Canis lupus familiaris: one gene and its partner. The protein of the gene in region 1 binds, or shares a complex with, the protein of each later gene. Links are inferred from orthologs where the notes say so. Each region holds a gene or a part of one and is shown on either strand. Other genes may lie near its edges. The genes, in order: NHP2 and NOP10.

The links.
Region 2: NHP2 (region 1) and NOP10 share a complex: the UniProt entries of both Homo sapiens proteins name them as parts of the H/ACA small nucleolar ribonucleoprotein (H/ACA snoRNP) complex. The link is inferred for Canis lupus familiaris from reciprocal best matches to the Homo sapiens genes NHP2 and NOP10.

The regions. Positions count from the first base shown.
Region 1 is NC_049232.1:3,653,323-3,657,837, forward strand, and holds the start of NHP2 (H/ACA ribonucleoprotein complex subunit 2), read left to right. Parts: upstream 1-1,575; 5' UTR 1,576-1,692; intron 1,693-2,188; exon of another isoform or gene 2,189-2,244; 5' UTR 2,245-2,326; coding exon 2,327-2,486; intron 2,487-2,568; coding exon 2,569-2,638; intron 2,639-4,515. UniProt on the Homo sapiens protein: Required for ribosome biogenesis and telomere maintenance. Part of the H/ACA small nucleolar ribonucleoprotein (H/ACA snoRNP) complex, which catalyzes pseudouridylation of rRNA.
Region 2 is NC_049251.1:1,036,496-1,039,386, forward strand, and holds NOP10 (H/ACA ribonucleoprotein complex subunit 3), read left to right. Parts: upstream 1-1,316; 5' UTR 1,317-1,418; coding exon 1,419-1,472; intron 1,473-1,749; coding exon 1,750-1,890; 3' UTR 1,891-2,125; downstream 2,126-2,891. Other genes in the region: NUTM1 (NUT family member 1), read right to left, coding at 765-852. UniProt on the Homo sapiens protein: Required for ribosome biogenesis and telomere maintenance. Part of the H/ACA small nucleolar ribonucleoprotein (H/ACA snoRNP) complex, which catalyzes pseudouridylation of rRNA.

The DNA of each region.
Region 1 (4,515 bases):
AAATGGTGAGTAATAAAGGCATTCTTTGTGAGCAACGGATGAAATACCCCGAGTAATGTACTTGGTGCATAAACGTTTACTTCCTTCCTCCTGCCAATCAGAACTGAGAGGCTTTCAACAACTGAGACTTTGGTCAACACATTTATTGGAATCAGGTTTTTTGAGGATGAAATTCTCCATAAGGACGCAGTCCATCCTGTCCCATGCATACATGTGGCAGTACTTGGCCCCTCTGTGACCTGACACTTTATGGGGGGGGGGGGTCCTACAAGGCTTTAAAAGTTGACAGGAACACCACTCAGAGACAAGACTAGAAGAGCACCTTTCAGGGGCACCTGGGCGGCCTAGTTAAGCATCTGATCTTTCATGATCCCAGAATCCTGGGATGGAGCCCCACTTTAGGCTCTCTGCTCAGTGGGGAACCTGCTTCTCCCTCTTCCTCTCTGCCTGCTTCTGCTCACTCATGCTCTCTCTCTCCGTCAAATAAATTAATCTTAAAAAAAAAAAAAAAAAGGCGGGGGCGGGGGTGGGGGTGGGGAATGCCTGGTGGCTCAGTGGTTGAGCGTCTGCCTCTGGCTCAGTGTGATCTCAGGGTCCTGGGATGAGTCCCGCGTGGGGTTCCCCACAGGGAGCCTGCTTCTCCCTCTGCCTCTCTCTGTCTCTCTCATGAATAAATAAATTCAGCCTTTGAAAAAAGGTTTAAAAAAAAGAAAGGAAAAGCACCCTTCAGAGCCCTGCAGTTCTGTGTTCAGGGAAGCCCACGGAGCAGCTCTCACAGCTTCAGGACGGCTTCCCCAGGAAGGCAAGAATTGCTACTACTGGACCTACAGGGGTACAGCAGAGTCGTAGGCAGGAAAGTACCGGCCGCAAAGCTTCAGGCAGGGGCTATCTTTTCTCAAGAAACTCCAAAGTGAAAACATTTATAAAAGATCATTATCCTGTTATGTTGTGCGTACCATTTTGCTTACTTTCAAACTATTTTTTCATTGTTTATATAACATATTTTCATTGTTCAACTGATTTATGTTTCTATTTATGAAAACTGCTTGGGGTCTAAGGTTAGGATGGCCGGCATCTTGATTTTTGCTATTCTAATGGAAAATACAAAAAACTGACCTTGCCACCTGAGTGGCTCAGTCGGTGAAGTGGCTGCCTTTGGCTCAGGTCATGATCCCGGGGGGGGGGGGGGGGGGGGGGGGTCCTGGGCTCCCTGCTCAATGGAAGCCTGGTTCTCCCTCTCGTGCTATCCCTTCTTGTGCTCTCTCTGTCAAATAAATAAATAAACAAATAATTTTTAAAATTGACTTGATTTTTATTGAATGACTACACTTGGTGACAGAGTGAAAAGTTTAATTTTTTAAGTTGGCTTAACTAACCTGTGCTCCCACGGGTCACCTGACACTTCCAAAGTTCCACTTACCGGCCTATTCTGCTACCTTACCAGTTTCCGGCCTACCGCCTCCTGATCCACGGCAATCAATCTGTAGCAATCGTCGAATTACCATCCAGCCGGCGTTCCAGGAAGCGGGGGAGGTCAGCGGGAAGGCCAGATCACCCCAGGTGGGCCCGCCCCCAGCCCAGCGTCCGCGTCCCCCGACGCCCTGAGGATAGCTGCAGAGCCGCCGCCCACCGCGCCCCAGGTCCCAGCCTCCGGGTCCCCACGCGCCCCGCCGGGGTCACGGCCGGGCAGCGGTAGGAACCGGGAGGAAACAAAGGGGGAGGGGAAGTCCGTGGAGGTCGACGGGGACCGCAGTTTCAGGGAAGGGGGCGGGGGAGTCGGTCCCGGGTGACTTCCGAGCGGGCGGCCGACTGAGCGGAGACACGCCCAGGGAGCGGGGCGACGGGGAGAACGAGCGAGGCATCGTGCTAGCGCGGGGGCCTCTGCAGCGCCCGGCTCTGCCCGGACCGCGGGAGGACCAGACTCCGAGGAGCCCAGGAACCCACTTTCTTCCCTTTCGCAGGCCCCGCCCCTCGCGGGGGTCCGGTCCCCTCGGGCGTGGTTACGCCCCGCAGACCCCGCCCCCTCCACCACCCCCGGAGCCGGCGACGCGGAGCCCTCCCCCGGCCTAAGCCCGCGTCCGCGTCCCTTCCCGCCCGCCCGGGCCCCGCCCCCCAGCCGAGGCCCCCGCCCCCAGCCGAGGCCCCGCCCCTCCGCGGTCCGCGTTTAAAGCGCCGCGGGACGACGATTGGTTGGAGTCGGAGACGTCGTTTCCTCGTTGGCTAAGGTACGGCCGCTTCCCGCAGTACCGGACGACCCGGAAGTGATTCCTGAGGCCCGGGCCACGTGGGTTTGCCGCGCGGGGAGCCGGTTTCCGTGGCCGCCGCGATGACCAAAATAAAGGCGGATCCCGACGCGCCGGAGGCTCAGGCGGAGGCGTGCCTCGGGGAGCGCACTTACCACGAGCTGCTGGTGAACCTGAATCCCATCGCGCAGCCACTGGCCTCTCGCCGTCTCACGCGGAAGCTCTACAAGTGCATCAAGAAAGGTGTGGCCGGCGCGGTGGCCGGTGGTGGCGCGGGGGCGGGCCGAGGCTCCCCGGCCTCCGGCTGACTCTTCTGTCGTTGCAGCCGTGAAGCAGAAACAGATTCGGCGCGGGGTGAAGGAGGTACAGAAGTTTATCAACAAAGGCGAGAAAGGGTAAGGCCCCCCTCCTGCCGGACTTTGCATTTCTGGGTGGTCGCATGGGCATCTCCAATGCTTGGCGGCCCGCCCCCGGGACACGAGGTGATCAGGCAGTCGGTGAGCTCCCTCCGGTACTGCCCGCCGGCAGACAGCATCGCGTCACTTCCAAGAGCTGGGAGGAGCCCCACCGGGACAGTGAGATCCGGGGAAGGGAAGGGAAGGGAAGGGAATCAGCCAGCTCACGTCGGGTAGAGCCCAGCCTCACTCACTCGTAGACTTTTCAGGCACGGTGCTATAGGGAGACAGTGACTTTAACCAAAGACGCACAAAATCAAAGGTCCTGAGACAACTGTGAGGGGATGTGCAGGGTGCGATGAGAATTGACTTCATTACATCTTTCTCCCTCTCAGGCCAGACAGTAAGCGCTTTTCATTTTTATTTATTTTTTAAAAAGATTTTTATTTATTCATTCATGAGAGACACACAGAAAGAGAGAGAGAGAGAAGCAGAGACACAGGCAGAGGGAGAAGCAGGCTCCACGCAGGGAGTCTGATGCGGGACTCGATCCCGGGACTCCAGGATCGTGCCCTGGGCCAAAGGCAGGCGCTAAACCGCTGAGCCACCCAGGGATCCCAGTAAGCGCTTTTTAGAACAAGATAAAGCCTCTCAGTGCTTTTTCTGTTGGGGTGCTTGAGAGAAAAATAGTGCTGGTGCCGGGTATGTGTGTGTTTGTGTGTGCGATGCTCTGCAGTAAATCTGACCTGGGAGAGTGGTGGACAGAAGTATTACCCTCCCGTGGCCTTTGTGAGCCATGGTGAATTTGTTTTTTTTTTTTTTTTTTTTTTTTTTTTATGATACTCACAGAGAGAGAGAGAGAGAGAGGCAGAGACACAGGCAGAGGGAGAAGCAGGCTCCATGCAGGGAGCCTGATGTGGGATTCAATCCCGGGTCTCCAGGATCGCGTCCTGGGCCAAAGGCAGGCGCCAAACCGCTGCACCACCCAGGGATCCCTCTAGACTAGTTCTTAAGGTGCTTTTTTGGCAGGTGACCCCCCTCTGCCCCGCCCCCAGCAGAACTGTCAAATAGGCAGATGGCTGCACAGATTTGGGGCCTGGAAGGGAGAGGCCAGGCAGGAAAGAACAAATTTGGGAGTTATCAGCACACAGATGGCATCTGACGCCGTGGCTGAGGCTCAGGTCGGTCAGGGATCAGCGTGTGAGGACAGCACCAGCACTGAATGGCCCCTCCAAGGAATGGGTGCTGGTGGAGGAGAGCCTGGAAGACCAAAGGAAAACTAGGAGTGTGGGCCGCAGTACTTTGAACTAAGAGCTCTTTACTTGAGTTTGCCGCCCACCTACCCTGAGAGAACGCTTTTCCTTGGTGTCTTCAGGACTCCCAAGGCCCTTGTCCCAGAGCCCTGATACCTTGCCAGCTATGAGTCCTACCTGAGGGTTCTCTGGCAAGCCTTCATTAGTTCCCTGTCCTTCTTGGACCACGCTCATGCTTCCCAGCCTGGCACTTGAGGCCCCTGCCAGGGTCTCTGGCCTCATCCCTATCCAGGATTCCAGAGCCACCCCAGGCCCCCCTCAGCCAGCTCCTGGGTATGTGCTGCCATTCTGATTCTGTCTCAAACGCTTCCCTCCACCTCCAGAGCTCTGCCACAGGCTGCCTGACACCTTCATTCAGCTTTCTGATCTAGTGTCCCCTCCTGGTTCCTTTTTTCATTCTCCTAGGAGAGCTGAGCTCTGAACTCCTTGGTGTCACTCCCGTACCTCACTTGTCCCAGTGGAATCTCACTTGTCACACTGTGTGACATTTACTTATTTGCCAGAAACTAAAGGCATTACCTCCCCAGAGGAAGTGCTCGCCAAACACATTTGCACGCACTCTCG
Region 2 (2,891 bases), on another chromosome or scaffold:
TGTCCTTACAAAGCTGTCCTGCAGTCCCTGACAGTCCACGACCATCAGCCCTGCAGTCCACAGAAGGTTCAGCTTACCCTTGGCTGAAAAGCACCACTCTATCCAAAACTGCCATTCAGCCTGAAATTCCAAAACCAAAAAGTCTTTTTTTGTTAAATTATTTTGTTGTTTAAAAGTTCTGTTAAATGATTTTAGTTTTTGAAATGGGAAATAAATCAGCATGGTTCTAAAGTCAAACTATGCAAAATGGAATATACAGCAAGTGTCCTTCCCACTTCTTTCCTCTGGAACTGATTTCTCTCTATCTCTCTCTCTCCTTCTCTCTCTCCCTCCCTCTTTCTTTTTGGAACCAAGTTCTTTATTCCAGAGAAAACCAATAATATGTTTCCTGTGAATCCTTACAGAGATATTTTATGCAACTACAAATAAATACAGACTATATTCTAAAAAAAGAAAAAGAAAAGAAAAGAAAAGAAAAGAAGGAAGGAAGGAAGGAAGGAAGAAAGAAAGAAAAGAAAAACCCTTTCAGGCTTTTCTCGGTTATAAAATTAATCGAGAAAATCAAAATTAACAAAATTAAAATTAACAAATGTTCCAATGCTTTTACCATTGTAAATAACACTGCAACAACAATCTTTGTAATGATAACTGGGCTCCCATTGTCCTAAAGAAATCAGAGTCCTATAAAGAGAATTTCTACGTTCTTTTAAAAATTCGAAATAACCCTAGGAGGTGCATCGTATTATGCTATTATTGTTACTCACCACTATAAGAAAGAGCGCTGGATTTGTGGCAAAGAGACCTGAGTTTAAATCTCGGTTCGACCACTGAAATATACTTCACCAGTTTCATAAAATAACTTCACGCCCTCTTCGCTGTGCCTAATATTGAATACCCATCATGCACTCTTTACCGCCAATACTTTAAAATAGGACGGGGGAACCGGATGGAAAAGAGGGGAGGGAAGAAAACTTTCTTCTTTCTACCCTAAGATAAAGGGGCTCGGAATCCCGGAGCCTTTGTTTCTACAGGCCCCAGAAACCCACTGCCTGTGAAATGGGTGCGCATCGCGAGTAGAGGCAGGACTCTGTGCATCGATGTTCAAGCCATATTCATTCCTACCCCCCTCTAGCTCCTAGCAGCGTCTTGCACACAGTGGGCACACTCCACGTGTCTCAGAGCGCCCGCAAAATTGCAACTGGAAGCCGACGCCTGCAAGGTTGCAACTGGGTTGCAACTGGGCCAAATCCCGCACTCCTTCGCCCCCTCCTGGTCAGCGGGAGAAAGGCCGGAATGGACTACACTTCCCGGCATGCCTCGAGAGAGACTACCGGCCTTACCGGAAGGACTTTGACGAACACGTGACACCCTCTCCGCGGGAGCCGGACGGCGTTGGGAGTCGCGTGTGCCGCGTGGTCATGTTTCTCCAGTATTACCTCAACGAGCAGGGAGACCGGGTCTATACGCTTAAGGTGAGACGAGAAAGCAGGTGGTAAATAGTCCTGTGGACCAGCAGGCTGGAGGAGCGGCGAGACGCCCCCGGTTGCCGGGGGTGAGGGGCCTGGGAAGCCCGAAACCTCGAGCGCTGGAAGGAGGGTGCGGCTGTCGGTGTGGGCGCCCGGCCCCTGCCTCTGGTTCACCCGTCTCTGCGCAGCTTCCTCCCGTCCCCTACCTCCGCCTCCCTGTCGACGCTCTCGGGCGGGTTTTCCCGCCATTCCTGTACTGAAATTTTCTTTTTTCTTCGGGCAGAAGCTTGACCCTATGGGACAGCAGACCTGTTCAGCGCATCCCGCTCGCTTCTCCCCAGATGACAAGTACTCCCGTCACCGAATCACCGTCAAGAAACGCTTCAAGGTGCTGATGACCCAGCAGCCGCGCCCCGTGCTCTGAGGCCCCTTAGCTCTCGTGTCCCTCCTGCTACTCCTCAGGGACTTTCCGAAACCAGCCTCTTCAAACTGTGAGCCGTGAAGGCTCCTCGGCACCCTTGCGCTTGGGAATCCGGTGTCCTCGTTGCCTTCGAGCCCGCTCCTGTGAAGCAATCATGGTAGCATCCCTCTTAAGGGAACTAATCAGAATCGTTTCACATCTTGGATCAGATCGAGGTTATTAAAATGATTTGAACGAGTTTTTGTTTTGTATGTTGTGGGGGGAAAGGTAGGGGCTTAAAAACAAAAACAAACAAACAAAAAAAAGAAGATGAGAGGGAAGAGGACCCAAGGGGTACAAGAAGACCACTTGGGAGAAAAACTCGAGTCGCTGCTGTAGCAGTAGTGCTGTGTGCAACAGGGTGTTGGGAATGGGATGGATGGTTGAGACTCCTGCAAGTGTAAGCATTCCCTGAAAAATATCCCTGTGTCACTTAAGTAATTTCTTGCCCCTTGAAATGACATTTGACTCAACTGGAGGAGTTGCTTGAAAAATAATAGCAGCTATACTGTAGAGGGAATGCAGTGAAGTCAGGAGACCAGCATTTTCCCCTTTGCATAATTTTAAGAAAGTCGTTTACCCAGTTTTTTTTTTTTTTTTTTTTTTTTTTTTTTTTTTTTTTTTTTTATTTATGATAGTCACATAGAGAGAGAGAGAGGCAGAGACACAGGCAGAGGGAGAAGCAGGCTCCATGCACCGGGAGCCCGACGTGGGATTCGATCCCGGGTCTCCAGGATCGCGCCCTGGGCCAAAGGCAGGCGCCAAACCGCTGCGCCACCCAGGGATCCCCGTTTACCCAGTTTGGTCTCATTTTTCTCGTTTCTAAGCCCTCTTCCAGCTTGAAATCTGATAGGGATTAGTGGTGGATATCCGTGTATGTATGCTGAGTTACGAGTAGAACTGTTGTGAATACAAAGGCCCTTATACTTGTTTACTGACTCTGAAAATATTCCCAGGCTTTTAGT